Linked DNA regions of Oryzias latipes. The protein of the gene in region 5 purifies or fractionates together with the protein of the main gene of each other region. This does not show direct contact. Links are inferred from orthologs where the notes say so. Each region holds a gene or a part of one and is shown on either strand. Other genes may lie near its edges.

The links.
Region 1: the proteins of snrpb2 (region 5) and sf3a1 purify together in Homo sapiens (affinity purification with mass spectrometry; 5 studies listed by BioGRID and IntAct, with this or other methods). This does not show direct contact. The link is inferred for Oryzias latipes from reciprocal best matches to the Homo sapiens genes SNRPB2 and SF3A1.
Region 2: the proteins of snrpb2 (region 5) and phf5a purify together in Homo sapiens (affinity purification with mass spectrometry; 4 studies listed by BioGRID and IntAct, with this or other methods). This does not show direct contact. The link is inferred for Oryzias latipes from reciprocal best matches to the Homo sapiens genes SNRPB2 and PHF5A.
Region 3: the proteins of snrpb2 (region 5) and rbm17 purify together in Homo sapiens (affinity purification with mass spectrometry; 3 studies listed by BioGRID and IntAct, with this or other methods). This does not show direct contact. The link is inferred for Oryzias latipes from reciprocal best matches to the Homo sapiens genes SNRPB2 and RBM17.
Region 4: the proteins of snrpb2 (region 5) and gemin5 purify together in Homo sapiens (co-immunoprecipitation; 3 studies listed by BioGRID and IntAct, with this or other methods). This does not show direct contact. The link is inferred for Oryzias latipes from reciprocal best matches to the Homo sapiens genes SNRPB2 and GEMIN5.
Region 6: the proteins of snrpb2 (region 5) and sf3b6 purify together in Homo sapiens (affinity purification with mass spectrometry; 4 studies listed by BioGRID and IntAct, with this or other methods). This does not show direct contact. The link is inferred for Oryzias latipes from reciprocal best matches to the Homo sapiens genes SNRPB2 and SF3B6.
Region 7: the proteins of snrpb2 (region 5) and sf3b5 purify together in Homo sapiens (affinity purification with mass spectrometry; 3 studies listed by BioGRID and IntAct, with this or other methods). This does not show direct contact. The link is inferred for Oryzias latipes from reciprocal best matches to the Homo sapiens genes SNRPB2 and SF3B5.

The regions. Positions count from the first base shown.
Region 1 is NC_019867.2:18,886,035-18,890,477, forward strand, and holds the start of sf3a1 (splicing factor 3A subunit 1), read right to left. Parts: upstream 2,806-4,443; 5' UTR 2,783-2,805; intron 2,672-2,782; 5' UTR 2,630-2,671; coding exon 2,582-2,629; intron 2,090-2,581; coding exon 1,980-2,089; intron 1,898-1,979; coding exon 1,693-1,897; intron 1,619-1,692; coding exon 1,361-1,618; intron 1,277-1,360; coding exon 1,202-1,276; intron 1,137-1,201; coding exon 986-1,136; intron 906-985; coding exon 709-905; intron 605-708; coding exon 487-604; intron 383-486; coding exon 75-382; intron 1-74. Other genes in the region: ccdc157 (coiled-coil domain-containing protein 157), read left to right, coding at 2,806-3,170, 3,308-3,458, 3,547-4,234, 4,318-4,395. UniProt on the Homo sapiens protein: Component of the 17S U2 SnRNP complex of the spliceosome, a large ribonucleoprotein complex that removes introns from transcribed pre-mRNAs.
Region 2 is NC_019877.2:2,093,940-2,098,338, forward strand, and holds phf5a (PHD finger-like domain-containing protein 5A), read right to left. Parts: upstream 2,928-4,399; 5' UTR 2,856-2,927; coding exon 2,804-2,855; intron 2,531-2,803; coding exon 2,507-2,530; intron 1,194-2,506; coding exon 1,027-1,193; intron 950-1,026; coding exon 860-949; 3' UTR 761-859; downstream 1-760. Other genes in the region: aco2 (aconitate hydratase, mitochondrial), read left to right, coding at 3,890-3,925.
Region 3 is NC_019881.2:3,095,092-3,098,869, reverse strand, and holds part of rbm17 (splicing factor 45), read right to left. Parts: intron 2,615-3,778; coding exon 2,538-2,614; intron 2,462-2,537; coding exon 2,363-2,461; intron 2,288-2,362; coding exon 2,215-2,287; intron 1-2,214. UniProt on the Homo sapiens protein: Splice factor that binds to the single-stranded 3'AG at the exon/intron border and promotes its utilization in the second catalytic step. Involved in the regulation of alternative splicing and the utilization of cryptic splice sites.
Region 4 is NC_019872.2:29,392,327-29,395,770, forward strand, and holds part of gemin5 (gem-associated protein 5), read right to left. Parts: intron 2,375-3,444; coding exon 2,301-2,374; intron 2,101-2,300; coding exon 1,919-2,100; intron 1,506-1,918; coding exon 1,366-1,505; intron 1,299-1,365; coding exon 1,127-1,298; intron 1,057-1,126; coding exon 874-1,056; intron 804-873; coding exon 750-803; intron 680-749; coding exon 551-679; intron 431-550; coding exon 335-430; intron 267-334; coding exon 129-266; intron 1-128. UniProt on the Homo sapiens protein: The SMN complex catalyzes the assembly of small nuclear ribonucleoproteins (snRNPs), the building blocks of the spliceosome, and thereby plays an important role in the splicing of cellular pre-mRNAs.
Region 5 is NC_019859.2:709,585-714,120, reverse strand, and holds the start of snrpb2 (U2 small nuclear ribonucleoprotein B''), read right to left. Parts: upstream 2,859-4,536; 5' UTR 2,733-2,858; intron 2,346-2,732; 5' UTR 2,338-2,345; coding exon 2,274-2,337; intron 604-2,273; coding exon 431-603; intron 370-430; coding exon 238-369; intron 166-237; coding exon 130-165; intron 42-129; coding exon 1-41. UniProt on the Homo sapiens protein: Involved in pre-mRNA splicing as component of the spliceosome. Associated with sn-RNP U2, where it contributes to the binding of stem loop IV of U2 snRNA.
Region 6 is NC_019882.2:13,000,323-13,004,143, reverse strand, and holds sf3b6 (splicing factor 3B subunit 6), read right to left. Parts: upstream 2,403-3,821; 5' UTR 2,280-2,402; coding exon 2,250-2,279; intron 1,926-2,249; coding exon 1,807-1,925; intron 1,320-1,806; coding exon 1,181-1,319; intron 1,085-1,180; coding exon 995-1,084; 3' UTR 716-994; downstream 1-715.
Region 7 is NC_019873.2:17,221,528-17,225,978, forward strand, and holds the start of sf3b5 (splicing factor 3B subunit 5), read right to left. Parts: upstream 2,884-4,451; 5' UTR 2,759-2,883; intron 885-2,758; 5' UTR 860-884; coding exon 599-859; 3' UTR 1-598. UniProt on the Homo sapiens protein: Component of the 17S U2 SnRNP complex of the spliceosome, a large ribonucleoprotein complex that removes introns from transcribed pre-mRNAs.

The DNA.
Region 1 (4,443 bases), on a different chromosome or scaffold from region 5:
TCTATCAGGTTGATAAAAAAACGAGTTCAAATGATGCTTTTCACAAAAACCATGCTACTTTCTACGGAACTCACCTTCTCCTCTGGCTTCTGGATTTCCTCTTCACCAATCTTCTTACCAATGGCTGTCTCTTCAACACCAAAGATATCAGTACGCCTCTCAGCGAGCTGCTTCAAGCTGCTCTCGATATCCAGACCAGGAGCATAGACTTCATCCTCTGTCTGTCTATCCCTGATGCTGCGGTCTCTTTGTTCCAGCCAGCGTGGGTCCAGCAGACCAATGCGCATGTGCTCCTGCATCTTGCTGGCTGGGATCTTCTCACCAGTGATTGGTGAAATGAGGTACTCATCTGGAGCTGCAACTGAGGGCATAGGCTTGGAGGCTGTGAAAAAAAAAAAAAAAAAAGGAAACAAGTTTTAATGCACCGCTTGTTTTATTTGCTTGTTTTTATACTTCATAATATTTCAATCACAGAAAAAAATGTACCTTTGGGATCATAGTCTTTTCGAATGATGACGTGGTCTGGAGTCGGGGGCAGAGGAGGTGGCATGGGGTTGTCAGGTGGAAGTGGAGCTTTAATTCCATCGTCCTCATCATCTGATCCCTGGAGAAGTAGCATTTTAAATTTGTGAATTTGCTACACAAGTAACCAAGAAACCTAGACAAGTGTTGGACTTTGTATAAATGTAGTAAATGATAACTGTTTACCTCATCCATGTCCTGCACTTGTGTGTCTTGGTCAGGCTGTGAGGGTTGACCTCCGGCTCGTTTCTCCCGTTCATCCTCTTCATCCTCACTCTCAACTTCCATCTCCACCTCCTCACTTTCTCCATACTTCTCATAGCGCTCCTGGATGAGGATTCGAGCACCAAGCTCCTCTGGAGTGGTAGGTGGGGGGAAGTGGCCTTGGAAAAACACCAAATGAATAAATTAATAACTATGGTTCTTGCAACATCTGGACCTGGTGTTCCTATAGTCATGCTACCTTGTTCATTGGGCTGGAAGTCCACAGTCTCCACCACGACAAAGTCATGCCAGTCAATTTGAGCATAGGCTACGCGTTCCTTCTCTCGCTCCTCTTCCTCCTTCTTTCTCTCACGCTCCTGGTACTTTGCCCACTCAACACGGTATCTCACCTGATGTTTGTAACAAGACAGTTTTAAACATAGAAAATAATCTTCTGAAGGCTAAAATAAATTACCTGGTCCATAACCTCCTTTGGATTCTCAGCCTCTCTCTTTAGTTTGGCCAGCAGACCCTTTGGGGGGATCAGAATCTAAAGGTTGAGGCAACATTTAAAAAAGTTCAATAACACAGTTTCAATAAAAAAACAAAGAAAGCTGTAATTTTTGTCCTTTACCTTGGTATATTGTTCCACCAGTTTTGTGAAGTAGTTGAAAAGGCTGTGCTGGGGTCTCAAAAAGTCAAATTGGTAGTTCCTCTGTTCTTTTTGCATGAGCTGGGTGAGAAACTGACGGCCGTTTCGTGCAACAAACTGGGCAGTGAGCTTCACAACATCAAGATCGAATGCAGAGATTGATGGAGGATCAGCTATGAATTCAAACTCTGGAGGCGGTTCTTTGGGGACCACAGTTTCCTGAATCACCTGGGACTGCACCTGATGAAGAAAAGGCAAGTTTGTATAAATATAAACCCTTGTAGGTCCGGGCACAGTAAATAGACAGTCCTTACTTTTTGTGGAAGCTGCTGAGATTGCTGCATAGCCTGCTGCATAACCTTGGGCACTGCGGCGGACGGTTCTTGAGCTTTGCCCTCCTTAAACTCATTGACTTTGTGGCGGTAGTAAGCATGGTAGGGATCGTTGGGGTTGAGGAAATTAAATTTTGGATTGTTGATCTCATTCTGACGGATTCTTGCTTCAAACTCAGGCCCATTCCTGTAAAGTGACAAGTATAGAGTCAAACTACAGATAGCAAACACCTCTTACAGCTGTACGTGACAGTTCTTTGGCAACCAACCTGGCAACAAAGCTCGCAGTCTTGTCAACTATATTACGGACCTCAGGAGGAGGATATATGATGCCAACAATAGGTTTAGTGGCTGGAGTTTCCTCCGGAGGTGTATCATTCTGACAAGAGAAGGTTCAAAGTAAGAATATTTATATTTAAAAATAACATCAAGTACAGTGAAGTTCCTCCTTAAAAATATTATTACACAAACATTATCAATTCACTTATTAATTAATAAGACTTACTTTAGGTAATTCTAAGATACACTGCAACAATTTAAACATTAAACCACTCGATCATTAAAAACCTGAGAATACAACTAACACATTTAGTCTAAACCATATGCAAAGATACCAAATATTGAAGTGCAATCATAGTTTAAGTAATATCTGTTACCTAATTTTATTGACTTTCTCAACTTGGGAATTTTTAGGGCCACACATATAGACGCAAACGTTGCCCCATATGTTTTACAGCTTTATAAACATTAGCATTTAATTTTGGACAGGCTTAGAAAGCTTTGCATAAAGGGGGCGAATTTTATAAGGCGATAAATCATTAAGAAAAGCGACGGATATCTGAGGCTAATGTTAGCTAGTTAGCGTCCTTACCTTGTTGTTAGGCTCAGGCTGAACCATTTGAACAGGCCCGGGCGGCATGGCTGCGTCTTTTTAACGAATCACCAATTTTACCTGAAAACACTAAAGCAACACACATATATTTTGAAATGAATTCTTTAAAAAAAATTCTGTAAGTCAAAAAGTAATAGCTAATACAGCTATAATTCTTTATTTGTCGACGTTAATACTCACCGCGTCTCGTTTTCGTTAACGCAATGGCGGCCAATTACTTCCGGAAATATCCGCTAAGAACTGTGGGACTTGGAGTTAACTGTTGCCAAGGAGACCTCACGTCAACAAGTACTTATAGGCGCCAAATAAGCGTTTTAGACATGAGTTTGTTGTTGGGTCGTCAGGATTCTATCAAGAATCTAAGAAAAGACCTCATCGATATTCAGGGTGCGGTTCTGGACGTGCTCTCCAGAACAGGACCAGTCTGCGCTTCCTCCTGGAAATTCCCGGACAAACTTTCCTGTCATCTAGACATTGTTGCTTTGTTGGAGGAATATGACTTCGTGGCAGGAGAAGATGACTTCAATCAGCATTCCCACATTATTCTCCTGGAATTGATGATTGACAGGTAACCTAATGTTGTATTGCATGTAAAATATATATATATATATATATATATATATATATATATATATATATATATATATATATATATATATATAATGACTTTAAAAGCATCTCTGCATGTTCTTGTTCCCCAACAAGGCTCCTGTTTCTTCTTCAAAGCGTCAGCGTTTATGCTGAACAACAGATGGGGGTCCACAGACCAGAAGGAGCTGCACACAGAGGCAGCATGTCAGTTGGTCTTGTGGTCAGGAATTATTGGGGGGATTTACTTCAATTTGCAGATAAAAAGGTAAAGAAACCTCTTTTTCTAGTAATGCCACAGGGATAAAAACACATGCAAAAGTATTTGACTTTAAATGCCTTTTATGTCTTTTTAGGAACTCTTCAAAAACATTGCAGAAAAGACAAATTCAGTGGAATCTGATGAGTCAAACGTCGAGTCCCCTCTCAATAGATCCAGCACAAGTTGCTCCAGGCATTCTTCCATATCCTGGTCTTCCACAAGCTCATTTAAATTCCTCCCACAAAATAACATCACCATCAGTTCCCCCGAACAAACCTCATTCCATCCTAAAACTGCCTCCCATAATGTCAGCTGCCAGACTGCACAAACGTCCCTCATCCCTTGTGGTACATGTCACCAAGTGCAATCTCTTTTGAGAAAAACTGGAGAATCTTTGATAGATCTGTTTCAAAGTGAAGGTCTACCCTCATCTCTGCAGCCTCTCTCAGCAGTTGTGGATGAGACAGTGAGGGTGGGACATCTGACTCCAGGTGATGTTGCACAGTGGGCCAATGAACAGCTCAGAGACATGCGCAGGCTGGCAAAACACCTGCAGGATGTGAGGGGAACGGTACTGCCCCTCCAAGACAGAGTAGCAGCAGCTGAAACGGATCGTGAGGCCATCAGATCTCAACTAAAAACAGTGCAGAAGGATTTTGAACAACAACTAGAAAAACAGCAAACAAATATAGAACAACTGGAGTTTTCACTGCAGGAAGCACAGAGAAGCGCAAAGCAAACTGAACAAAAGCAACAGGAGGAGCATAAACAGCTTAAAAAAGGTATTAATCACATTAACCAGCACAATAAAAACAAGTTAGGATCATGTTTAAACTTTTTTGTTTTTTCAATTTCTTTAAAACAGAAATCCATTCTTCAGAGGAGACCAATGCTAGACTTAGGGAGAAGGTAGCATTGCAGCAAGACACCATACACACTCTAGGTAAAATAGCCTAACTTCATTTGTTTTTATCATTTTCATAGCAAAAAA
Region 2 (4,399 bases), on a different chromosome or scaffold from region 5:
GGAACAGGTCAGTTTTGTTCTCTTCCTAGTTTTTGTACAGAAACATTTTGTTTTCTGGGTCTGAGTGTACATAAATGTGTAATAAAAACTTCTGAATAAAATGCTGATATTCAAAGGTTTTATGTTTTGGCCCTCAGTTTTTCTGCATAAATTAATCTCTAGACCATTTTATTGTCTGAGGTTTAATACAAACCATAATACTCCCACCACTGTTTTAAATTTGTCCCTTTTTATTAAAGCTAAATAAAAAGTTAAAGGTTTTCCATAGTTGAACTTTTAAGTAATCTTTAAGCAGTTCATCTACAATTACTTTTCTGATTTAAATAAATTCATTTGTATCCTGAAGAACCAGGAATCAGGCTGTCCTGTTTTCAGACGGGAGAAGTCAGAATTATACGTCTTTAAATACATCATTTCCTCACTTTTGATCAGTAAAATGTAGATTTTGTTGGACTCAAATCCCTAATTTTTTAACTGAACTCTCAAATGTTTAGTTTTTTTCTTCCCTGTTGTCTCCATTTCAGGTTAATGTGACGAGAAAAGACAAACCAAAACTTCCAGATCTGAAGCTCCTCAGATCTTTAGGAAAATGTCGAAACTTTTCTTCCATCTAGAAAAGTTTAGGCTGCATTTATACGACCTGGATCTTCCTTGGAACCTAACAGGAACAAGGTTGAATGAGAGAAAAGAGCCTCCATGTATAAACGATAAGAAAAAAACGCTTTAAAACTGGATTATTCAGTCAAACGGCCACAGAGACTGGAGTACAAAAGTGAGTTTTATTCACAAACCAAAACAGTTTTCTTGGAAGTTTGGAAACGAGAAGGAAAGCCTAACAGACGCCGGGGGGGTTTCTTCTTCACCTCTTCTTGAAGCCATACTTCTTCCTCTCGTAGAACAGGTCTGTTTTGGAGCTGCCCAGGTTCACGATTTTCGGACATCCGTCCCGCTGCACAAAAAAAAGATTAAGGGTAAAAACATTGGTTCATTTCAGCGAAGGGCCGATCCTGGAGCCCAGAGACTCACATCTTTCTCCTGAATGGTGCACTCTTTGCAGTAGTACGCATCAGACACTCCGGGGCCTCCGCAGATCACGCAGCGCCCCTGATAGGACCCGTAGTTACACTCGTCACAAATGCGCACCAGCGTGCACGGCCTCACGTACGAATCACAGATGACGCACTTCCCATCGCCTGAAAGGAGCAGATCAGGGACAGTCTGGTTGGTCTCTGCCGTCTTTTAAACATTGTTAAAGTCAGACTTTAAAACAAGTTATTTTTGTAAAAGAAGACGGTCAGACGCTGCATCTCACTTCCTGAGTTTCTGCTGCTAGTTTCTTTGATGAAATGACAGCAAAGAGCTTTACAGATACATCAAATTAAACTTTTTTTTTTTTAAAACTCGAAGCGCTTTAAAATTTAAAACTAAACTCAAGACTTGAAAACAGCTGATCGTTCGTGTTTTTTGATCAAGAACATCTGTGTTGCTCTATATGCAGACAGGAAGGAGATACAATAGAGAGAAGAGGATAAACAGATAAGAATTGGCCAACACAGTTTGTTTACAATAGTTCAGAACTCTGGGTTGATGTTTTTTTTTTTTAAAGCAATATTTGACTGACATAATAACTTTGATGCATCTGTATGAAGGACTTTATCAAACTTCTGTTTTTCGAATCTCATCTTATTGACCAGACTTCCAGACTGGGAATTTAAGACATCTTTAATGTCATATCTATATGTTCCACGGCATCCTTTCCTATTTAGTTTTACAGACTGCTTCATTCTAGATTTTCTATCTAGAAAAAGTGTACTGATTTTCGAGGCAGGAATTCAAATGCTTCAGTCAGAAAGCAGGCCCAAACCACAATAAACTTCCACCGTGCTTAAAGTCCCACTCTGATCCTCTATTGAAATATTTTCATAACGTTTCCAAAAGCTGTGTCGTTTCTCCAAAGCGGCAGGAGTTTATTAGAAATACACCTATGAGTTGTGGGCAGATTGGTAGCGTGGAGCATGCCCGTCCCCCCTTCCCATCACCCATCTGTTTGTGTGCACTCACGCTACCTTTACAGCCCCTCACACCTCCAAACCTAACTGTATCGGTTTTGTTTCCAACAAACGGAAAAAAAACCTCTGTGGAATTCAATGGACTTTTTCTTCACTCTGCTTTATGTTCCCACTTAAAGTACTAAGTACAAATGAGTTTAGACTCCATTCACATTGAAAGCTTCTTGTTTTAAATTCTAGAAATGGAAAAGTTTTGGATTGTAGTATTTTTTCCTAGACTAGAGAGGGCTTTTATTCTGAAAATAATTCTCACATTAAACATTAAAGGCCCGTGCAGAAAAAAAAAGAAGAACAAATCAGGGATGGCCGCACGCAAAGAATCACTTTATAATATGTTTTTTTTTTTTTTGTTATTTATAAATATTACCTATAAAATGATATCTACATGCACTCTTTCTTTGAACGTTTGATAGCATTAAACAATTAAAAAAACTTACATTTTTCGCAAAGTCTCCCGATAGCTGGTGATGAAAACAGATACAGTTAATAAGGTAATTTACACAGTTTGGGATTAATATTTTAAATAATTAAATAGAAAAAACTAGGTATTTAGACATGTCGACTCCAAACACAAAACTAGGCTAACACGACCATGCTAACAGTCTCATTGAAACCCCATGCCATACATGCTAACAAAGCGCTAAACCTTTGAAAGTAAACCACGAATGTGTCAAATTACCTGCGACGAACTTTAAGGTTTCAGACACTAAACAAATAATTACGTAAAAACTTACCAACTCCCGCTTGTTTTCTACAAAAGATCAGATCTGGGTGATGTTTAGCCATGTTAGCTAACGACAACCCAACGCTCCGCTGACTCTTCTTCTTGCGTGTCGGTGGAAGCTAAAAGCAGCTAAATGGCCAATACTGACACCTACTGGACAGAAGCATGTACTATTTTATTTTTTAAATTACAAAATAAAACATAAACACGAGTTATAATATTTAAGATAATGAAAGTAATTAATTTAAGTTTTGAAAATGTAAAAATAAAAAATGTTACCAACATATTTATTTACATTTTTTTTATAAATACTAGATTTAAATAAATACCCTTTTTGCTTTTAAAATAGGCTACATTTCCAATTTTTAAAACCTTTTTATGAAATTTTCTGTTTTAAATTCATTTTTTAAAATGTTTTCTGAAAACCAGAACAATATATAAAATTATGAGAGAGTTACTTTATAAATAAACATGTCAGCTTGAGGAGGAAATTACCTGTTTGAGAACTTTAATTGCAGTTCATCAAATTAAAATTTTCTTGAGTAAAAATGTACTTTGGTGTGCAATGCATACCCTTGCTGAAGAAATAAAATTTTTTCTAACTATTGCGCAACTTTTTTGATGAACAGAAAATCTAGCTTATTTAACTTTGTTCATTAATTTATAAAAATGTTACATTTCCATCATATTTCTATATTTATTTTGTTTAATCAAGCACATATGAATGATTAACAACCATTTTACAAACCTAAACTTTTAGTCCATTGAATTGAAAACATGATGCAAATATCCTGTATGTATGGAAAATTTAATTCAAGCAATGCGTTATTTCTTTTAGATCTGCTGATGTGACGACCAATATTTTTCTTATGAGTCTGATGACACATTTTGTCACATATTGACACAATTTCTTTAATATTTTATTCCATGTAAACATGTACATTTTAGAAAGGAAATAAAATTCAGCTGTATTTCCAGGCTTTTCCACCAGAGGGCAGCAGTAAATACGACACTGGACGAAAAACCAAAGAAGAAGAAAGAAGCTTTTATACATCAGTGACGTCACGGCGATCTCACATCTTTGTCAGTGAACAAAATGGCATCTTACTGTCTCACCGTCGCACGGCTCCAGGTAAGAGCCTAAAAACTGTGATTTTTAAGTGTGAATTTCCCCGCAGCGAAGTGTCGATTTGCATGAAAAGATTTAACATCTCGTGTACAGTTTCCCGGTCTCATTAAAAGACCGAGAGCTAACGGATGAACGCAGAGGTTTTTCCTAGCTAGCTGCCTGGCAGGTCATCGTGTCCCTAACGCACCCGACCCAGGAGACGAGAACCAGCTTGACCCCAGCATATTATTGCCCTATAACGCCTCCGTTTTTAGTATGTTATCTCACATATTCTCTGTTAAACAATGAAATCAGTCTGGCTAAGGTTTAGCGATGCAGTTTTGGTTGGAGGTAACAAGGTTAACCGCAAGGTTAGAGCTCGGAGCGGCTGGACAGCAGCTGGAGGCGCCTGAGCGGCTGTTTCAGATGAAGAAAACGGACTCAAGCTGTCAGTGGGAGATTTTATGACGACGAGGAGTCTGAAATGCAAACATTTGA
Region 3 (3,778 bases), on a different chromosome or scaffold from region 5:
GAAACTACTGTTCCATTTGAGCACAAAGATCTGTGGCTGTTAGAATGAACCAGCTGCTCTCTGAGCAGAGCAGCTGGAGTCTCGTAGCTGCAGGCGGGGACGGTTCTTTGTTTCAGTGTTCGGACCGGAGAAGCGTTCTGACCGCAGTCCGTACGGCTGCAAAGGCACTTGATCGTAAAAATACTAGAAGCGTGTTTAGAAGATGATCTCACTCCGTGTCGGAGCTCTGCTTGTTTACAACAGACTGCATAATATTTTCTTCTATGGTGGTATCGTTATTTGTCCAGACCAATGACTATCTGACACGTCATCGGACCAACGAACAGCCAATCACATAATGGGACGTCAGCACTAGTCCCAGGACCCCGAACGGGTGTTGCAGGCTGAATGGTTAAGGTCCCTACACCGCTTCTTTTCGCTTTAGAATTTCGTGAGCTGAAGCTTCAGGGATAAATTAATTCTGGGGACAGGGCCTTTGCTGTAAGAGCCCCAACACTCTGGAACAGTCTCCCTGAAGAGATCAGGCTCGCTGGGTCCCTACCAGTATTTAAATCTTTTTAAAAATTTACCTCTACAGGTGTGCTTTTAAGGATTTTACTGGTTCTTAAATCTAAACATTTGATTTTATCGATTTCATTGTTTTTTTCTTGATTTTCTTGATTTTACTGATTTATCGATTTTATTGATTCTAACCACTATCACCATTTCATATGTGTACTGGGTTTTATTTCTCCATACTGGAAACTGTTTTTAATACTGGTTTTGTTTCATATTAATTGTACAGCCCTTTGTAATCTGGATTTCGAAACAGTGCTATATAAATAAAGTTAATATTATTATATTATTATAGGTCGAAGAGAATCATCACTAAGAGCTTTATAGTGACTTAAAGAAGTAGTGTGAAGTATCGTTTGAAGCAGCACTTCTCATGGCTGTTTTAGGAACTCTTCTTTTTTCCTGTGCACATTTGGAGCTCCCGTCTGTCTGTCTGTCTGTCTGTCTGATGGCTCGTTTCCTCTCATCCGTTTGTGTTTTGGTGTTCAGAGGAAGGAGACAACAGGAAGTTGGATGGTGGGGGCAAACTGACAGGTTTGTACTCGGGTCCAGTCAGAAGGGACCAGGGAACTTGCAACATGAAACAGTAAAGTCTTTTCCCTAAATATGATCCGAATGTGTCCTGTGACGGAACCTGTCCAGGCTGAAAGCCGCCTTTGCCCAGCAGTAACTAGGATAGGCTCCAGCAACCTAAAACCTAACCTAATGATTTCTAAAAGCAGACACCATGATCATTCTTTCCCCCCCTTTAAAAATACAACGTCACCAATTTCCGTAATAAAATCCGAACAAATACAAACATTTTACGAAGATTGATTGTGATTCAACTCTTGTTCTGGTGATGGAAGCTTGGATGGTCCATGAAAAAATGTATTAAAAATACTATTTTTTTCATGAAAAATCGCTCAAACGCAATGCATTGTGGTCTATATTCACCAACCTAGTGAGCAGTGATGTAGATTGCTTTTTTTGTTGTTGTTGTTTTTCTTGCTGAGACTTCTAGGGCGATGGAATTTAAGAAATTGTAGATTCGGACGTCCCAGTAAACTGGTGCCATGCCCCGTATGGTGCGCGGTGAAGGAGTTCGGACACAAGCTCTTTGTCTTAGACTCTGGGGATGAAGTGTTGGTTGCCAGGCAACCACTCAACCCTCAGAAGTGAGTAAAAAAAAACAAAAAAACAGAGAGGGGCTGGAGAACGGAGCGGAACGGCACCGTCTGCTCTGTGGACGACGATGAACACAGAATTTTATTAAAAGACGTCATTTTATTTTTAACCCTTGTGCTATCTGGTGGGGTCCAGATGACCCCACTCCCAACGTGCCTCCAGAAAGCACAAGGGTTAAAAAGTGAAAATTTTTCCGTTTCTACAGCATAAACCTAAAGCTGGCGTCTGTTTAGTGAGAATGACTGTGTGGAGAGCGGTGTAACCCTTCCCTTGGTCTGCCCCACTTTCTGCGAGCGGTGATGTAAGCCCGGTTCTGCCGGTGCCGCAGGGAAGCGCCTGGGTTGCTGGGCCACAGATGATATAACACCTCAGGGAGCCGAGGCTCACCTTCTTTCTGATCTGGGCCGACTCATTTAGAACGGTTACGCCTTCGCCGGCGTTACCGGAGCGGTTATGAAACCAGAGCCTCGAGCGCCCGTCCGCGACAGTCACCTTTGATGGCGGACTCCACCCTCTCGAACTCTAGGAAGATCCGGACCGCCTCGTCGTCGGGAACCTCTGCGATCTGACAGGAGAGCAGAAGTCTTTCAGGCGCCTCTTCAAACCCCCTTTCCCCTCCGTCCGGGACGCTCCGTCTCACCTCAAATATGACACATTTCACCACTTTGCCGTATTTCTCGCACTCCTCCTTCGTCTCTCCTTCCAGGTCTTCGTCCACCTCCCCTCGGCCCACCATGTTCTGCAAAACACGAGGCGGTTTTCAGCTCCCAGGAAAGCCCCGCGGACTCTGAACGGACGCGATTCGGAGCACCAACCCGTAGCAGGACCACTTTGGTGGGATTCTTCAGGATCTCCGTGAGCGGATTCGACTCAGACTTTTTGGAGGCATCCGCTGACGGACGGAGGAAGAAAACAAACAAACAAACAAACGGTTATTACAAAGAGATGAAGGCAAATGCTGATGTGAGGACGGAAGGGGTGGATGACGGGTACATTTATCAACAGCGAGCTAAATGTGGAGCTAAACAACAGGAAGCATCACTGTAGAAACCCACTCTGATGAACGTGGCGTTTCTGATGATAGAGGACACAGTTAAAGACAACTAGAAGGAGCCAATACAGGTTGAATGTTTTACTTCAGAATGAAAATGAAACTCTAAAGGTAATAATTGGCAAAAAATAAAGAAAGACATGATCAAAGTTGACCATAAATAAAATGAAAACAGCACAACAACAATCCTGAAAAATGCCAGAGCCGGGTATCGAACCAGCGAGCTTATGCACCAAGGATTCCAAGTATTTCAATGGAGGCAGAAACCCTGGAAATCCTGGAATATCTGGAAAAGTTCAAGGATTTGAAGAGCTGAACATTTGAATAGTTGAATGGTTAAAAAAAAGTAGCAGAAGGAGATAAGCTGCAAAAATGAATAAAATAAAGAGAGAGAAACAGGAAAACGATGGTTGAAGGCTTGATTCAACCCATTAAGGTGGAAATTGCATTTGTGAGTATTTCTTTATTCAAATCGTTAACAAAAGAAAGTAGTTGGAAGAAGATCCTGTTGGTGACGTAGAAGCTACCATCTCCCTGCTCCCCTCAACCCCCCCCCCCCCCCCCCCCCCCCCTCAGAACCGAATGGCCGGACAGCTCCAACATTCTGTTGCACCGGGAATGTTAGGTTGGGGGGGGGTGGAAGGGGTTGTAAGCTATTGTGGGAGAGTTTAAACAAAGTACTCAGAGGGGGCCGAGTTGCTTCAAACCAAGATTCCCGCCTACAACTCGTAGTGGGGTTTAAAACAAAAACAACCACAAATCCGAGACACCACATAGTCTTTTAGGGGTTAAGGAGGGAATTCAAACAGAAAACCTCCCATCGAACCTCTCTGACCAATCCTCTGCCTCTTGGCGCCTCTGGGCATTCTGGGTAGTTTAGTCAAACACATTAAGGATGAAGCTTTCTTTGGCTAATTTCAAATAAGAAACGCAACATATGGGACTTTAACGAGCGTGGAGGAGTTGGTCAAAAGATTAATAAGTAAGGGTTAATGGCTGACGAAG
Region 4 (3,444 bases), on a different chromosome or scaffold from region 5:
AATTTCCTGTGAGAAATGTTTTTTAGTGCTCTTAGACCAGCAGCAGCCAAAACCTTCTCTTTTTTTGCATCAAACTGGCTTCCTGACGTCTGCACAGACACTTCAACCGGCATCTTCCCGCTCTTTACCCATCGCAGCGACGGACAGCAGGTGGTCGTTCAGCTCTCCTTTCTCCGTTGCCAGCTGCAGCGCCCCCTGCAGGTCTCCGCTCCACAGCCGCAGGTACACCACCGAGTCGAAGTGCCCCGCCTGCACGTGACCTTCCTCTGAGGGTCGACAGGAAGTTGAACGTTACGCTGAAACGCCCAAAGCCAGGAAGGGAGAACCAACAAACCTTCTGCCTCCAGCATGAGGCGCAGAGCCCGCCGGTCTGCAAACAGGCCCAGGTGGACATGGTCGCCATGTCCCGGGCTGCAGCCAGCAGGTGGCGCTGAAAACACACAATCAGCCCTGCTTTGTGAAAAAAGGGTCGAACTGAAGACTTAAGCTCGTTTAAGTTTTCTGACATTTTTATTTTGCATTTGGAGACCATCTGCCAGTTTTCTCTCACCTGAGGCGTGTCTGACGGCGGCCAGAGTGACGCAGTCCTGCAGCAGCTCCTCCCTGGGCCGGTGGTCCATGGACGTGCTGAGGGGCAGCATGGAGCGAGGCTTCTTCTTCTTCAGGAGGCTCAAATCTGCTGCGGAGCCAGCAAGGGACATGTTCAGAACCCAAAGAAAAAGCCGTTTGAACAAGAATCAGACACAAACCTGGTGGCTTCTCTTTACTTCTGGAGACAGATGAGGATTTCTTCTCCAAAGATGCTAAAAAAAGGAAAAAATGATTAGAAAAATGCGATTTGACATGAATCCTTCAGGCCTCAGACGCATTCACCTCCTGGAGGATGCATGCTGCTCGTGGAGCCGACCTCCTCCTCCTCCTCCTCAGACAGATCCTTCTCTCCGTCGCCGTTCATCTTTGGCACCACATCTCCTCCGAGCCCCGGCGCGCTCTTGCTCTTCTTCTTCTGCTTGGAGCCGGACTTCTTCTTCTCCTGCAGCGTGCTCATCTTCCTCCCTGGGAGGAGAACATGTCAGTCGTGAGCAGGAGGACCTGGCTGGATCCCCCCTCAGAGCCTCATCGTCACCTTTAGGTGGCTTTGTGAACTCCTGTTGGGAGACCTTCCACTCCTGCACGGTGAAGTCTTTTCCTCCGGTCCAGATCACGTCTGGATCAACGGGGGACCAGTCCACGCTCAGCAGATACCCCACGTGACCCCGGTAGTTAGAGATGGGCGCCTCCTCCAGGACGTCCCACACCTGAAACGAGACCCGCCCATCAGACCTCAGAACAGCATTTTGGCTTCACCTGTGTGGAGCAGCAGACCTGTGCCGTGCCGTCATACGAGGCCGTGACCAGCCGAGCGCTGTGATGTGGACTCCACGCCATCCCGGTGATCTTGGCTGTGTGACCGCACAACCGCCGGTACGGCTCCGTCAGGACCACAGGAGTCTCTGGAGGGTTCTCTGAAGACCAGGAAGACTCGTAAAGATGTGGGTTCCATAAGGAATTACTGCCATCTATCCATCCAACCATCCAGCTATCCACCTATTCATCCATCTGACGATTCATTTATCCATCCATCCATCCGTCTTCGTGTAAAGTTGTAGACCTAAGTTTCAAAACTGGAAATATTAAATCTACATCCAAACTGCAAGTATTCGTCCTGAACGACAGTTGATGTTTGATAAACTGATCCAAAGGAAACCAAACAACAAAATGGGATGAAGGTGAAGAAGATGAGAATTCTGAAGGGATCCCAGAAACGGTCATATCCTCTCTGACAGTGGGGTAACTGGGAGGATTCAGAGCAGGTTGGAGCCGTTTATTGGACGCTTGTGTTGTCATGTGACTATTGTTGTGAACGTAAGGTCCCCACCTATCACGGAGCGGAGGTCGTGCACGTAGACGATGGCGTTGCTGGAGCCCGAGGCCAGGAGCGTGTGCAGCTCTGAGGCGGAGCCGTGCTGGTGATGCCACCGCAGCGAGTTGATGATCTTGTGGTGCTGCTGGACGCTGCACAGTTGCTTCAGGTTGGGGGCTTGGAAAACATCAATGCACCTGATGAAAGAGATGAAAAGACCGGTGAAAGAGGCCAGTTTCCAGGAAAACAAGCAACTTTTGACATGTTTACTTTGTGATGCAACCTGACAGAAAACCTCAAAGCTCCACCGCTCCTCATCTCTGCTTCAGATGTTTTAACCATTAGATCAAAAAGTCTGGTTGGCGTTTCTAAGGGTTCACGTGTGAAAACAACTCACCCATCCTCGTTACCGATGGCAACGACTTTCCCATCCGGCTTCCAGCTGAGGTCGGTGTGTGGAGACAGCTTGTGCTGTTGGAGATAAAGATCAGTTTCAGGGTCGGTGCAGCTCAGCTGCTTTCAGGACAAACGGCAGAAACTCGCCGCCATTCTCAGCCTGAAACGGCAGAAACTCGCCGGCATTCTCAGCCTGAAACGGCAGAAACTCGCCGCCATTCTCAGCCTGAAACGGCAGAAACTCGCCGCCAGTCTCAGCCTGAAACGGCAGAAACTCGCCGCCAGTCTCAGCCTGAAACTCGCCGCCATTCTCAGCCTGAAACGGCAGAAACTCGCCGCCAGTCTCAGCCTGAAACGGCAGAAACTCGCCGCCAGTCTCAGCCTGAAACGGCAGAAACTCGCCGCCAGTCTCAGCCTGAAACTCGCCGCCATTCTCAGCCTGAAACGGCAGAAACTCGCCGCCAGTCTCAGCCTGAAACGGCAGAAACTCGCCGCCAGTCTCAGCCTGAAACGGCAGAAACTCGCCGCCATTCTCAGCCTGAAACGGCAGAAACTCGCCGCCATTCTCAGCCTGAAACGGCAGAAACTCGCCGCCAGTCTCAGCCTGAAACGGCAGAAACTCGCCGCCAGTCTCAGCCTGAAACTCGCCGCCATTCTCAGCCTGAAACGGCAGAAACTCGCCGCCAGTCTCAGCCTGAAACGGCAGAAACTCGCCGCCAGTCTCAGCCTAAAACAGCAGAAACTCGCCGCCAGTCTCAGCCTGAAACGGCAGAAACTCGCCGCCAGTCTCAGCCTGAAACGGCAGAAACTCGCCGCCATTCTCAGCCTGAAACGGCAGAAACTCGCCGCCAGTCTCAGCCTGAAACGGCAGAAACTCGCCGCCAGTCTCAGCCTGAAACGGCAGAAACTCGCCGCCATTCTCAGCCTGTAACGGCAGAAACTCGCCGCCAGTCTCAGCCTGAAACGGCAGAAACTCGCCGCCAGTCTCAGCCTGAAACGGCAGAAACTCGCCGCCAGTCTCAGCCTGAAACGGCAGAAACTCGCCGCCAGTCTCAGCCTGAAACGGCAGAAACTCGCCGCCAGTCTCAGCCTGAAACGGCAGAAACTCGCCGCCAGTCTCAGCCTGAAACGGCAGAAACTCGCCG
Region 5 (4,536 bases):
TTGTTCAGGAACAGGATGTGGTTGGGGGGGTTATCCGGAACCTGGGAAGAGCAGAGGCTCAGAACACGGATCCTCACAACACGGATCCTGAAGAAGCCTCCTCATCCTCTCAGTGATGAAGAACCCTACCTGGAGAGCGAGCGTGAGACCAGGAACCGCAGCAGCCTGCAGACAGAACACAGTCAGACACAAACAAACGGATCGGTAAAGGGGGGGGGGCACGGCGCCGCGCCTCACCGCGGGCTTCTTGGCGGCGTTGGCTGCCAGCTCCTGGGCCTTCTTCTTCTTCTCCTTCTTCTTCTCCTTGTCTCCGAAGGTGCCCTTCATCTTGGCGATGACCTCGGAGTCGGTCTTGGCGTACTGTATCCTCTGCAGGGAGACAGAGTCAGCGGGGGGCGGGGGGTCATCCTGAGGGTCTGCGCGTTCTCACCATGGGCTTGTTGTAGAACGGGAAGCCCTGCAGCTGCCGCAGCGCGTTGGTGGCGGCGGCCAGCTCTTTGAAGACCACGAAGGCCTGCCCCCTCATCCTCATGGTCTTCAGCGCCACCACGCTGAGGATCTGGCCGAACTGAGAGAAGAGCGCGTAGAGCGAGCGCTTCAGCTCTGAGGAGGAAGAGCAGAGATCAGACCCGGAGGAGCGAAACCAGAACCAGCCCAGCAACAGTTCTCCTCCGACCCACAGAAAGACCTGTGTTTGCTGGGATCCGCCTCCATCAGGATCCGTTTTGTCCTTTCAATCAATCCAACCTTTATTTGTAAAGCGCCTGAACAGTGAAATAAACACTAATAGAGCCGGTCTGACTGTCATCTACTCTGGTGTTAGAAGCCAATGAAAAAAGAGGAGTTTTTAACAAAGATTTCAAACCCTATAAGGAGCTGGCAGACAAAGGGAGACGGTTCCAGAGTTCAGGTTCAGCCACTGAAAAGACTGTCACCTTTAGTCACAGGTCCAGGTCTGGGACCACCAGGAGCCTCTGGTCTGCAGACCACTAAGAGGACGATGGTGCTGCTCAGTGACATAAAGAGGTGCTAAAGCATTTAAACACTTAAAAGGTCAGAAATAAAACAGTTAAAATCAATTCTAAAAGATACCGGCAACCAGTGCAGAGAGCGTAGTACTGGGGTCATGTGATCACGCCGTCTGGACGCCGTTAGGACACGGGTTGAAGCTGAATTCAGGACCAGCTGAAGACGGAGGAGGGACGGCTCCCTCCCAGAATAACGGGAATGACAGCAGGCCAGTGTGGAGAAGATGAGGGCATGGACAAGCCTCTCCGGGGTGTCATGAGGGAGGTGTGGCTTTACTGTGTTGATTCATCGGAGACGATAAAAACAAGACTGGACCACAGCACTAACATGTCTATCAAATTTAAAACTAAAATAACCCCAAGATTTCTGCTAGAAGACAGGTCAGAGTTCAATGATCCAACAGGCCGCTGGATTCTGTCAGATCAGTTTTCCCGGTTTTCTGTTCATTTAGGCAGAGGAAGTTTGACTTCATCCAAGTTTCAACATCCTCTAAACTCTTCTTTGGGTTCTCTACACACTGGGCCCCCCAGATTCTAATGGTAGATAAAGCTGGATATCATCTGCATAACAGCGATAGGCCACATTACACTGATCAAAAATGGTGCAGAGTGGAAGCAGGTATAACGAAAATAAAATGGGGCCTAAAATTGAGCCTTGAGGAACCCCGTGTCCGAGTGGGGCCTTTGTGGATGAGAATTGACCAAGTTGGACAGAAAACCTCATATCAGATAAGTACGACTCAGACCATTCAAGTGCTGTGCCTCTCATGCCAACAGACTGCTCTAATCCAGAAAGTTCAATAACTCTGGCTGCAGTTTGATGCCTTAGGAGATGGACGGACGCCCTCCTCCTTACGTTGTTCCTTTGCCTGTAAACAGACGGCCGCAGGAAACAAAGGCCTGGTTTTGTTCCGATGACGGACATTTTTCTGATCCGTAAACTCTCAGAGTCTCTGTGAGCTGGAACTCTGACAGAACCGGGTCATGAAATCCAGGGTTCTGGACGAGGGTTTTTGTGAGGTGCTGCTGAAACTGCCAGTGACCCAAGTTTGACCTGTTCAGACCAACGAATCCTGCTTTTGGAGTGTGAACAGAACGCCAATGCTTTTCCCGCCCTATAATGATTCATTTACTGAGACTGAGATCCTCCCGAAACACCGTCAGCCTGTTGGGCTGCAGGTGGAGGTTTACAGGTGAGGCTACAGGTGAGGCTGCTGGATCCGTGTTTCTGAGCAGGTCACTTGCCTTCTTTCTTGACTTTGTCGTTGATGTTGTTGATGTAGATGGTGTAGTTTGGTCGGATGTCCATGATGGAGTCTGAGAAGAAGATGATGAAGCGATTTGATCAGGAAAACGGACAGGCGCTCAGAGCCTCACGTTGAATGAAGACTAGTTTTTAAAAAGCTTCGGACAACAATGAAGCCTTACGATTAACGTGCCCAGATACGAGAAAAAAATTATCTGGAAATACAGTTTTTAATAAGAGAACTTTTGCGAGAACTTAGATTTCTTTGATTTTATGACTTTATTTTGAAAGAGGCGCTAGCGTTAGCATCCGTTAGCTCCGAGGCTAACCACGCTCGAGTTCAAAACGTTAACCGACCGTGGCGGCTTTTCTTTCGGAGGAGTCGCACCCCTCCAAGTCTGTCAGCCCCAAAACAGACCAAAGATTTTAAAATAAAGAAAAATAAACCCGCAACTCACCCGCACTGTGTTCACGCAGCGCAAGCAGACAACCGGAAACCGCCGTATGCCGCTTTATGAAGATCGCCGCGCTGCTGCCCCCGCAGGCCGGGAGGGGAACTGCAGCGCCTTCCTTCCTGTTAAGAAACACAAACGAGAGTTAAGGGAAACTTCAGCCTTTTCATTCTCTTCTTCAGAAATCCTCATCCATATATATCAGTTATGTTTGCATTTATTTATTTATTATATTTTCTTTGTAATTCTTTCTGTTTCTCCTGATAGTTTCATCAAACCAAATACTGACTGTGAAGGACGCTATCTTTGTTATGTTACTATCAATGTTGTTAATAAAAACATCTTTGTTTAAAAACCTGCCAAAGGTGGATTATTCCAGTACTCCAGAAGGACTGTAGGATTTTAGCAACATTTATGTTCAAAAGTTGATGGTGACGGTAGTGGAGTGTTCAACACTCAGTTCTGTAAGGAGTCTGCATGTTCTCCACATGCATGATAGATAGACAACTTTATTTATCCATTTGGGAGGTTCCCGCATGGAAATTGACAAAAATGAGTGAGAACTTTACAAGTGTACTGGGGGGTATTCCAGAAGGCCCGTTTAAACTCCCCTGACTTTAACCCTGAACTCTGGCTGAACTTGCTTACTCTGGGTATGTTGGTTCCTAAAGACCGGATATGAGTTGGCGTAATTACGCTCCACTTGGTAACGCTGGGTTAATGCACAGCAGGTACATAAAGACATTCTCAATGGATCGCCGATTTCTGGAGTCACCATGAAAACGCGTGGAGAAAAAAAGAGAGCGCTATACTTCAGACGGAGTCTGAGATTTAAATGACGGCGTATGAAGATTATAGGTCCATCAATAAAGTAACACGGCTGCATCATCAGCAAAAGAAAGAGTTTCTGCTTGTAGTAGAAGAACAGACAAAGTAAACGCACGAGTTTCTGATCTTATTTCTATTTTCATTGTGACACAAATACGCCCCTCTCACCCTCCCCAGGTGGTTTCTCCTCCAAGCTGGGGTCCTCTACCAAAGGCCTGGGATCTTGAGGGTCCTGCAGTATCTTAGCTGTTCCTGTTCTTTTCTGGACTGAGAGGTCTGAGGTCTTTCCAGGTATCTGTTGTAGCCACTCCTCCAGCTTGGGGGTTACTGCCCCCGGTGCTCCAATTACCACAGGCACCACTGTCACCTTCACTTTCCAGGCTTTCTCCAGTTCTCCTCTGAGTCCCTGGTATTTCTCCAGTTTCTCATGTTCCTTCTTCCTGATGTTTCCATCGCTTGGCACTGCCACATCCACCACAACGGCTTTCCTCTGTTCTTTATCCACCACTACAATGTCTGGTTGGTTCTCCATCATCATCCTATCAGTCTGGATCTGGATCAATTCAATTCAATTCAATTTTATTTGTATAGCCCAAAATCACAACAACAGTCGTCTCGATGGGCTTCGAAGTAAAACATGAACTCAAAAGGATCACGTATACAAAGAGTTCAATAGAAAAATACTAAAATGAACTAACAAACTGACTAAGCTATACTGGCATCCCTGCCCTTAGACCCCCCTTCGCGGTAAGGAAAAACTCCCCAAAAAAAACGGATTCCGGAAAAAACGAAGAAACCTCAGGGGTGCCCACATGAAGGAGGGATCCTCCCCCAGGACGGGCAGGCGATTTACCAGAACTCTTAGAGAAGAATTATCTTATCTAAATTTACAACTACATATATAAAGTCCAGCAGACGAGCTTCATCCGGCCGTGGTTGGGGGGACAGTCAAAGGCGCGAGTCGAGCCGGAGACAGGAACCA
Region 6 (3,821 bases), on a different chromosome or scaffold from region 5:
TTCTCCTAATTCCTTGGTGGTCCAGAGCTTTTTTGACCTTTTCTTCTTTAAAATTTCCCCAATTAATTGATCTTTAAAACTTTTTTGTTGCAATTCTTGATATCAATCTCTTTAGTAAAATCCCAGCTTCTTTTTTTGAGGAAGCACCAGAAATAAAAAAAAAAAGTAACCATAGTTGGTAAAAAGAAATAATACTTAACAATAAAATGTGAAATGAGGAATTTTAAAACAAATGGATAGTCCCATGTAAAAATATAAAATATGATAAAGTGGATAAATTAAAGAATTCAAAATAAATAAAAACTATTAAAACATTTGCTAAAAGGCAGTTGAAAAAGATGGGTCTTGAAGCTTTTCTTAAAAGCAGCTATGCTCTCTGCAGCTCTCAGGTCCTCTGGCTGACTGTTCCGTAAACAAGGGTGTACCCCACCTTTGCCCTACAACAGCTAGGATAGGCTCCAGCAACAAATATAGCAGGTTAAGATGGATGGACGGAAAAGACTGAATGACGGTCAGCTTCTCAAAAGATACTTTTCTGTTTGTGTGTAAATGTGGGGGAAAAAAGAAAAATTAGCTGATGTGACAGGTTTACAAAACAAGAGTAAAGTGAGTTCATATGTGGTGTTTATAAAACAAAAGACAATGGGTTTAAAGAAAAAGAGACATTTATTTTACAATAAATGGGTTTAAACAAACATTACATCCATTGATGTTCTTGGAGCACAAGGCAGAGACCTGTTAACTTTCAAATAAAATTATGTGGGGGGGGGGGAAAGAACTGAACTGAAAACATGCCTGGTTTCACTTCAAATTAAAAGCTCAATTAACATCAGAGAAGTCATTTTTAAAAAAAGCAGACGGCAGGTCATGCATAAAAGGTTGACAAAAGCACCAAAACAAAAACCTGACCAAGCAAAAATTTTCAAAAAAGGGAACATTTGTACAGGTACAGAGAAATCTAAGGTGTGTGAGAAGGTTTTGATAGTCGTGGAGATCATTTGGGAGGGTCTGTGTTGATGCCGTATTTCTCTTTTAGGAGCTTCAACTGCTCTTCCTTCTTCTTTGTGTCCATTTTCTGGAAAGCCTGCAAAAATATGAGCGGGTTGATGGTAAACAGAAAAAAACAAACAAACAAGGAACCAAAAAGGTTGTAAATGGATGAAATAAAAAGCATACGTACTCTGTTGGCGTTGTAGTAAAGAACAACCAGGTAACGATTGCAGACGTTGAAGCCTGACAGGTGATCGCAAGCGTTCTTGGCATCAAATATGTCTTCATAAACAACATACGCCGTTCCTCTGCTTTCAGGTGTGTTACCCCTAAAATACAGCAAAAGCATGAAATGGTCACACATCTTAACCTGTTCCATAATAATATTGTCCTTAAAGACCCACTCTGATGAAAACTGTTTTAAAACATTTTCTCATGGCATTTTTCTGATGAAGGACAACATATATGAAAGAATATTGAGCTTATTTACATATTTATTTTATTGTCTGAAAACATATGAAAAAGTGATCTAAGAGGGACTCTTAAATGATGATAACATGTGAGGGGAACAAACAAAACAAGCATTTTTAATATGATTAATAATGATTTAAATGTCAAATTTAAGCAAATGCTACACCACAGTTTGGAATGAAACGATTTTTTAAATAAATTTTGCTTCTCATTAATACTACCATGTAAAAAAATTACATTTATATATATTCATTGTTAGTAGACGTGGTTGTGTGTTTAGGACAGACATTTTTTTAAATTAAAAATAAACAAATAAAACTGAAGGTATGAAGACAAAACACTTACGTTCGTATTTGACGTATGGGTCCATATTTGCCAAAAATGTCGTACATTTCCTCAGCCGTGATCTTGTAAGGCAGATTTCTTATGTATAGGATTCTGTTCACCTCTGGAGGTAACCGAATCTGCAGCACACAAAAAAGAAATGTGTAACAGAAAGACTAGCATGTAAACAAACGGTATAAGAATTCTTCACTAAAGTGTACCCTCTAACGTGCTAAAACAATAATAATTCTTTAAAATTTTAAGATGACAAAACAATCAATTTTACCATCTCATTTTCAAAATGCCGTATTTATTAATTTTTTTACGTAGCGACGCTATCTTTTAGTAACCAATAGCTGCTAAAGGCTAACGGAGGGCTAATTGTCCCTTTCGTGAGCACCAAAAACCATATTAACATATACTCGTTGTTATATAGTAAAGTTAAACACAAAAATTGACCTTACATTAGCGCGTTTCGCAGCTTGCATAGCCATGATGACAGTTTATTTCGTCTGAACAATAGCTAAACAACAAACACGCAATGCCTTTAGCCTTCACCAGGAAATGGAGGGACAAAACGAAGACGAACATCCGGTTAACGGATAATACCAATAGGTACAGCAATAGGCATGTGCTTCCCTCGTGTGGTTAAAAGAGGAATCACACACATTTTGAGATACTATTAACACAACTTTTTTTAAATTTCTTTGTAATTCTGTTCTTTGACCTAGAAAAAATCAACATGGCCATGAAAGTGGTTTTGTGGTTTCACAAGACACAAGAAATAAAAAGACTTATGTGTACCTCTCTCATCAAAGTGTTGTGCAATGAGATATATGTGTAGGGAAAAGTAAAATTACTTATAAACATCAATAAAATGCAAAACAGTTTTTTTTGTCATTTTTGTGTTAGGAAATTCCCTACACTGACAAAATCTATGTATTTAACTTTTTTGGAGAAAAATATTGGAGATTTGAGCACTAGTTAGAATTGCAGTTTGACCTGTTTACCCACAATTGGGGTTTTGGCGTTAAAATGAATCTACTCCCCTTTTGTGTCTTTTTTTTCTTTAAAGATAAAATCCAAATTCTATACATATTTATGAGGGGGAAGTTAGTAAAAATAACCATCTCTCATAAAAAAACAAACAGAAAACAAAGCTGTGCTTTTAATTTCTTTAAAAAAATACAGTCTAAAAAAGATCTTAATTCAAAGTACTCGATTCCTCTTCTTTTGTGACATTTAAAAAAAAAGCGAGATGACAATCACCTTTATAAATCTAACCACAAATAAAAAATATTTTTTCTCTAAAATGTTCGGAGAAAAAAAACTATATATAGAATATTAAATAGAATTGTGATAAAGTATTACAATATAAAAGAGGAAAAATAAACGACGACATGAGAATAAAGTCATAAAATTATGAGAAAACAAATCAACATGGGGTAATGATTTGTTGAACTGTTGTGCTTTTATTTTCTGCAATTAACAGGTTATGGGTTAAAGAAACGAAAAGAAAAGAAAAAGTATTAGTGCGCAGGCGCCATGTGGGATTTGATGATTCGGTCCGGTAACGGTTGCAGATTACGGCGGGAGTTTTTCCAACGGCAAACTGGCGTCTCTCGAGGAAAATCTAGAAGGGACGTTTTATTGAAGTCTCGCGACGTGGAAAAAGATCGACGGTTGAAGACCAACTCGGCGAGGAGAGCTTTCTTAGTCTGAGATGAATAAACGGGTGAGTTTTAGTTTAACATTTTTTGTAAACCAAAACGATAGCCGAACTCCTCGTATTGACTTTAGTTGTTTTTTTTTATTCGCAAAACGCCCGTTTACAGAAACCCGTCCTCAATGGCTAACCTAGCTTAGCCAGCGGACTGTGCTAGCTGCTGACGGTCCGATTGGATAAATTGTTTAAGTTTTGACCATAGTTACGACAAAAATTGTGAAGTCATAAAAATATATAAGAAAGTAATAATAATAATAAACTCATTGTAGGACTGACAATAGAAAAAAACGTATTTAGCTAAGTAGTTTGA
Region 7 (4,451 bases), on a different chromosome or scaffold from region 5:
ACTAAGACGTTTATTATAGGTAAACACAATTGGCAAATATTCAATCTAAAGATGCATTATTTTTGAAGGCATTTGTAAAAAGTAAAAAACAAAATCATATATTTTAAGCAAAAACAAAACCACTGCTATAGCCATTGCTGCTCCTTCAACAAAGTCCTAAGGATGACTTTGGTCTTTTTCTTTTTACAATAAAACGTCTTGTTTGGATGATTTATTCATTTAAACGTTCTCACTTTTTTAAATGCGTTTTAGAAAACTGACATATTTCCAGAATAAAATGATCAGTGAAAGAGCTTAACCAAAGGAAAAATAATGTTTTCATTAGAAATACAACAGTTCAACATTGTGCACATATTGGACATTTTTAACATTTTCTGAAATGGATAAGTTCAGGTGTCGTCATTCTCATTCGTTTCCTGAAAGCACTACAGTTAATGTATTCACCGATCAAACAAGTGAGAATAGCTTCAGTGAACACATGAATACCAGATTTTACTGGCTGCTCTGACCTCAAGGTTAGAAACAAACAACCGTCCAAAACTGAAAAAAAGAAAAGGTAAGAGGGAAAAAAAGCTGCAGCAGTTGGTTGGGCTGTGTTTTATGCATCATCGGGTTTGTCTGCAGGTGGTCCACATGGCTGAAGCATCTTCTCCATCAAGTTGAAGCGAACACGAGCTTTGCTTTCATTTTCAGCGATGGAAAAGTAGTTGAGCAGGTCAAAATGACCCATGTAGGAGCAATAAGAGTCACGGTGCTGGTTCACCAGCCATTCCCATTTGGTAGTGTCAGCATGCCCTGTTCCGATGTACTTGGACTGGAGATGCTCCAGCTGACTGTGGATATTGTATCGGTCAGTCATTCTCTCTGAGATCAGTCAACAGGCTCTGGGAGAAAGAAAGTAAATCAGAGATTTGAATTGTGCTTCAGCAAACAGACGATCCAGTCAGATAAACTCATAAACAAGAAGGTTTTAGTTATTCTTGTGACATTTGTGAGGAAAATTACAATTCAAAGATAAAAACAAAATAATTTGAAGGAAAAAAAAACTCAAAATAATGCCTTTTTTATATTATATGGTGGTACATGTAAATAAATTAAACCTTTAAGAAGCAAATGTTATAAACATGGCTAATGGTAAATACACTTCACAAGCCTATAAAATTCTATTATGTGTCTCTCCAATGAGTGGGGAGCATCTGAAAGTAAAGATTACCACATCCAACTGCTAAACTTCAAATATATCAATGAATGTCAGTTATACCATGGTCCAGGTGAATGCTCCATTCTGATTGGCTGCTGAGTGGGGATTAAGTAAGGGATAGTCACCAACAAAGTATACGTTGCCAGAAATTAACGCACGCCGTGGAAACCCAAACTGCCCGATGCTTCCGTTGATTATTAGTGCGTTGATTATCCTGCTTTTACCATGGTCACTTACAAAACAAATACATTTTCAATCAGTTTTTAGTCATTTATTCTTGTTATTTTTTCGGTTTACGTTGCTTTTTTCAAAAAAAGCGGACTTTTTGCAACATGGTGTGGCGTGTTGTCACGTTACCGTAACATGACAACACGCTGAGCTGGCACCGACCTCCACTGCAGCAGTAAAAGCCATAAATAAGCTGATCGTCATGATGGTGTATGTTAAATTAAAGCATCAGTTCAGAATGAAGGTTCACCGCTCACCGCTTGTTTTTATCCAGATGATGAAACAAATGTCTGTTTTAAAAAAGCCGGCGCAGTGACACAGAACATCTAAGCAATGTAACTGGAACTTCTTTTTTTAGACGTGCGGTTATCACTTTTTTAATGCACACTCAGCAGCCAATCAGAATTGAGTATTCACCCGTACCATGGTATAATTTCTGATAATGGACACCTCAAAGGTCATTATCCGTCTTTTAACGGACGACAAGGAAGCTTAAACTGTCAAGACACCTTGTCAGCTATTATCCTTTACTTACCCAGCATCCCCACAAAAATCTTATAGGACACATTGAACACATACCCATTCACCAGTCTATTATTAAACTAGTGTAGAAGTAGAATAATTATTAAATTACTATACTTTGCAGTGGTGTGTATAAACATCAAAATAAAATATTCAGTAAAAACAAAAATATTAATAAACCGTAGAGTTGAATGTCTAATACAGACTTTTCCCCTTATGTTTCTTACGTCCCTTTTCTCCAGATCATATGCAGTTTACTTTGACATAATGAAATACAAAAGCTTTGTTTTGTTGTTTGCACACCAACAAATTCTGTATTTCTTAGATTATCATCCCTTTCAATAACATGAAACAAGTTTTGAATTAGTGTGACAAATTAAAAACAAAGGCATGACTGATTTGTTAGAATTACAGGAAAACGACGGATTTCTCACAGCTATGCAGATTTGAACCTTTTAGCCTAGCTAAACTGCTAGAAATTCTGGTCTTAAGGAAAGGACTCCTCGGAGAGTCAATGGATAATTTTCCCATGAGGAAAATCAATATAATGCACAACTACCAGAAATTAAATAAAATCGTGTCATACTTTATTGCAGATATTTACCATTTATGGTATATGACCGTTTTTGAAAGCACGACTATCCCTTTAAAACAAAGTTACATTTTACTTTGTTAGCTTGATCCTATATCATTAGCCTGGGTCTCGGCTAATAACCTATTTAAACTCCTGAACTTTAGTTTCTCTCGTAGCCAGCGGTGCAACTTCCATGTGGCCATCGATGATATACATATAAAAGGTCAACTTACTTGAAAAGCGCGGGTTTGAAAAACAGGTGAAGCTTGAAAAAGATGATAAAAACTGCGTCCGTCCGAACACACCGCGACGAGCAGAAGCTGGCTTCCGGTTTGCCTTCGACTTAACAAACCGGTGAGAAACCGAGACGGTGTTTTTTTTGTTCCGACTTTTTATTCCTAACGCGATGGTAAAGGTGGACACCAAAGTGAACGACATATAAAACCTCATTTTATGGAAAGGTGAAAGGCAAGTCAAATATTCTGTATCTATTCCTTTTTTTTTTTTTTTTTACAATGATAATTATATATATTCTTGGTCATAAACAGGTTAGGAACAATATTTTTAGATCTGAAAACAGTTTCAGGTTTTCGGTTTTAAAACAGCAGGCATTTAATGAATGTCAACTGTAGTGGACACCAGGACCATTTTAATCTATTTAATGGCTACACATTATTTTTAGGTGAAAGAAGTGAAGCTGAGAGGATTCTGTACCAGATAGTCGAAGGTTGATTCATATTTGGAGCTTTCGGATGATGAAAAGGATGAGGAGGGTGAGATTCAGTCTGTGATAGGTGATGATGAAGATGAAGAAGATGATAATTCAGGAGAATCTGATGAGTCAGAGAAGGTGCAGCAAAGTCTTCGTGCTCTGTGGACCAGGACTAACTTGCATGTTTTATTTAGTTTCAGGCTAATGTCTTACATTTTATGACCATGTTAGAACATTGTAGTGTTTGTACTATGTTTAAATGGAAAAAAAAAAAACTGCTTTTTTTATTAACTTGATTTTTTTTGTGTTTTTTAAACGTACATCATCACAGGTTTACACCTGTGCTAGCAGGGCGCCCCGCTCAAGATGACCCCAAAGTTTGTGAATACTGGAGTCCAATCTCGTACTTTTCACAGTACATCGATAACAATATTTTCGAGGATCATCTAATGTTTTTTGGGTGAATATCACTCTAAAGATTTAATCTGCTCCTTTTTTCTGATTTTCCAAATTGATCTCTATTTTCACAGAAATATCATCCTGTTGTCTTCTATCTACAATAAAAAATATTTTTAAAAAAATTAAAATTGTTAGGTGTTCTAGGCCTAAATAGATAGGAAATCACATAAAAACAGGAATTGTAAGACACTTTTTTTCCTCGGTTCTCAGGAGGTTGAATGTTTTTTTAAATTTTTACATTAAAGTTTTACATTAGACAGGAATGGTCTGATGGTTTTCAGATGTCAGTATGTGACCAGTGGCCATGTATTCACGTGTGCAAAAAACCCTGCTTCGTCAGTATTACTAAATGTGCTACATAAATCAAGTAAAGTTACAATATTTTTCAGTGATTCCAATATTTTATAATTTCTTTCATGCTATTTATGACACAGAATAAGAAACAGAACAACCTCGTTCCTTTTTTTTTTTTAAAAGAAGCTCCATTTTAAAGGAAGAACATCACTAAAGTTTATAAATAATGCATGTTCTGCTGCTTTACTGGGCAGCACTAAAAATTGGGTTTGTTGGCAAAATATGCAAACTGTCATGAGTTTGCAGTAAACAAATCAACCAAAAAAAAAAGAATCTTAACAGCTATAAAAGTGAAACTATTTTAACTCTGTTGACAGAATCTCACAGAAGTTGGTCTACTACTTTTACTTGCAAAATCAGAGATTATCTCAGCCACATTATATGTTTTTAATTCAAGTGTC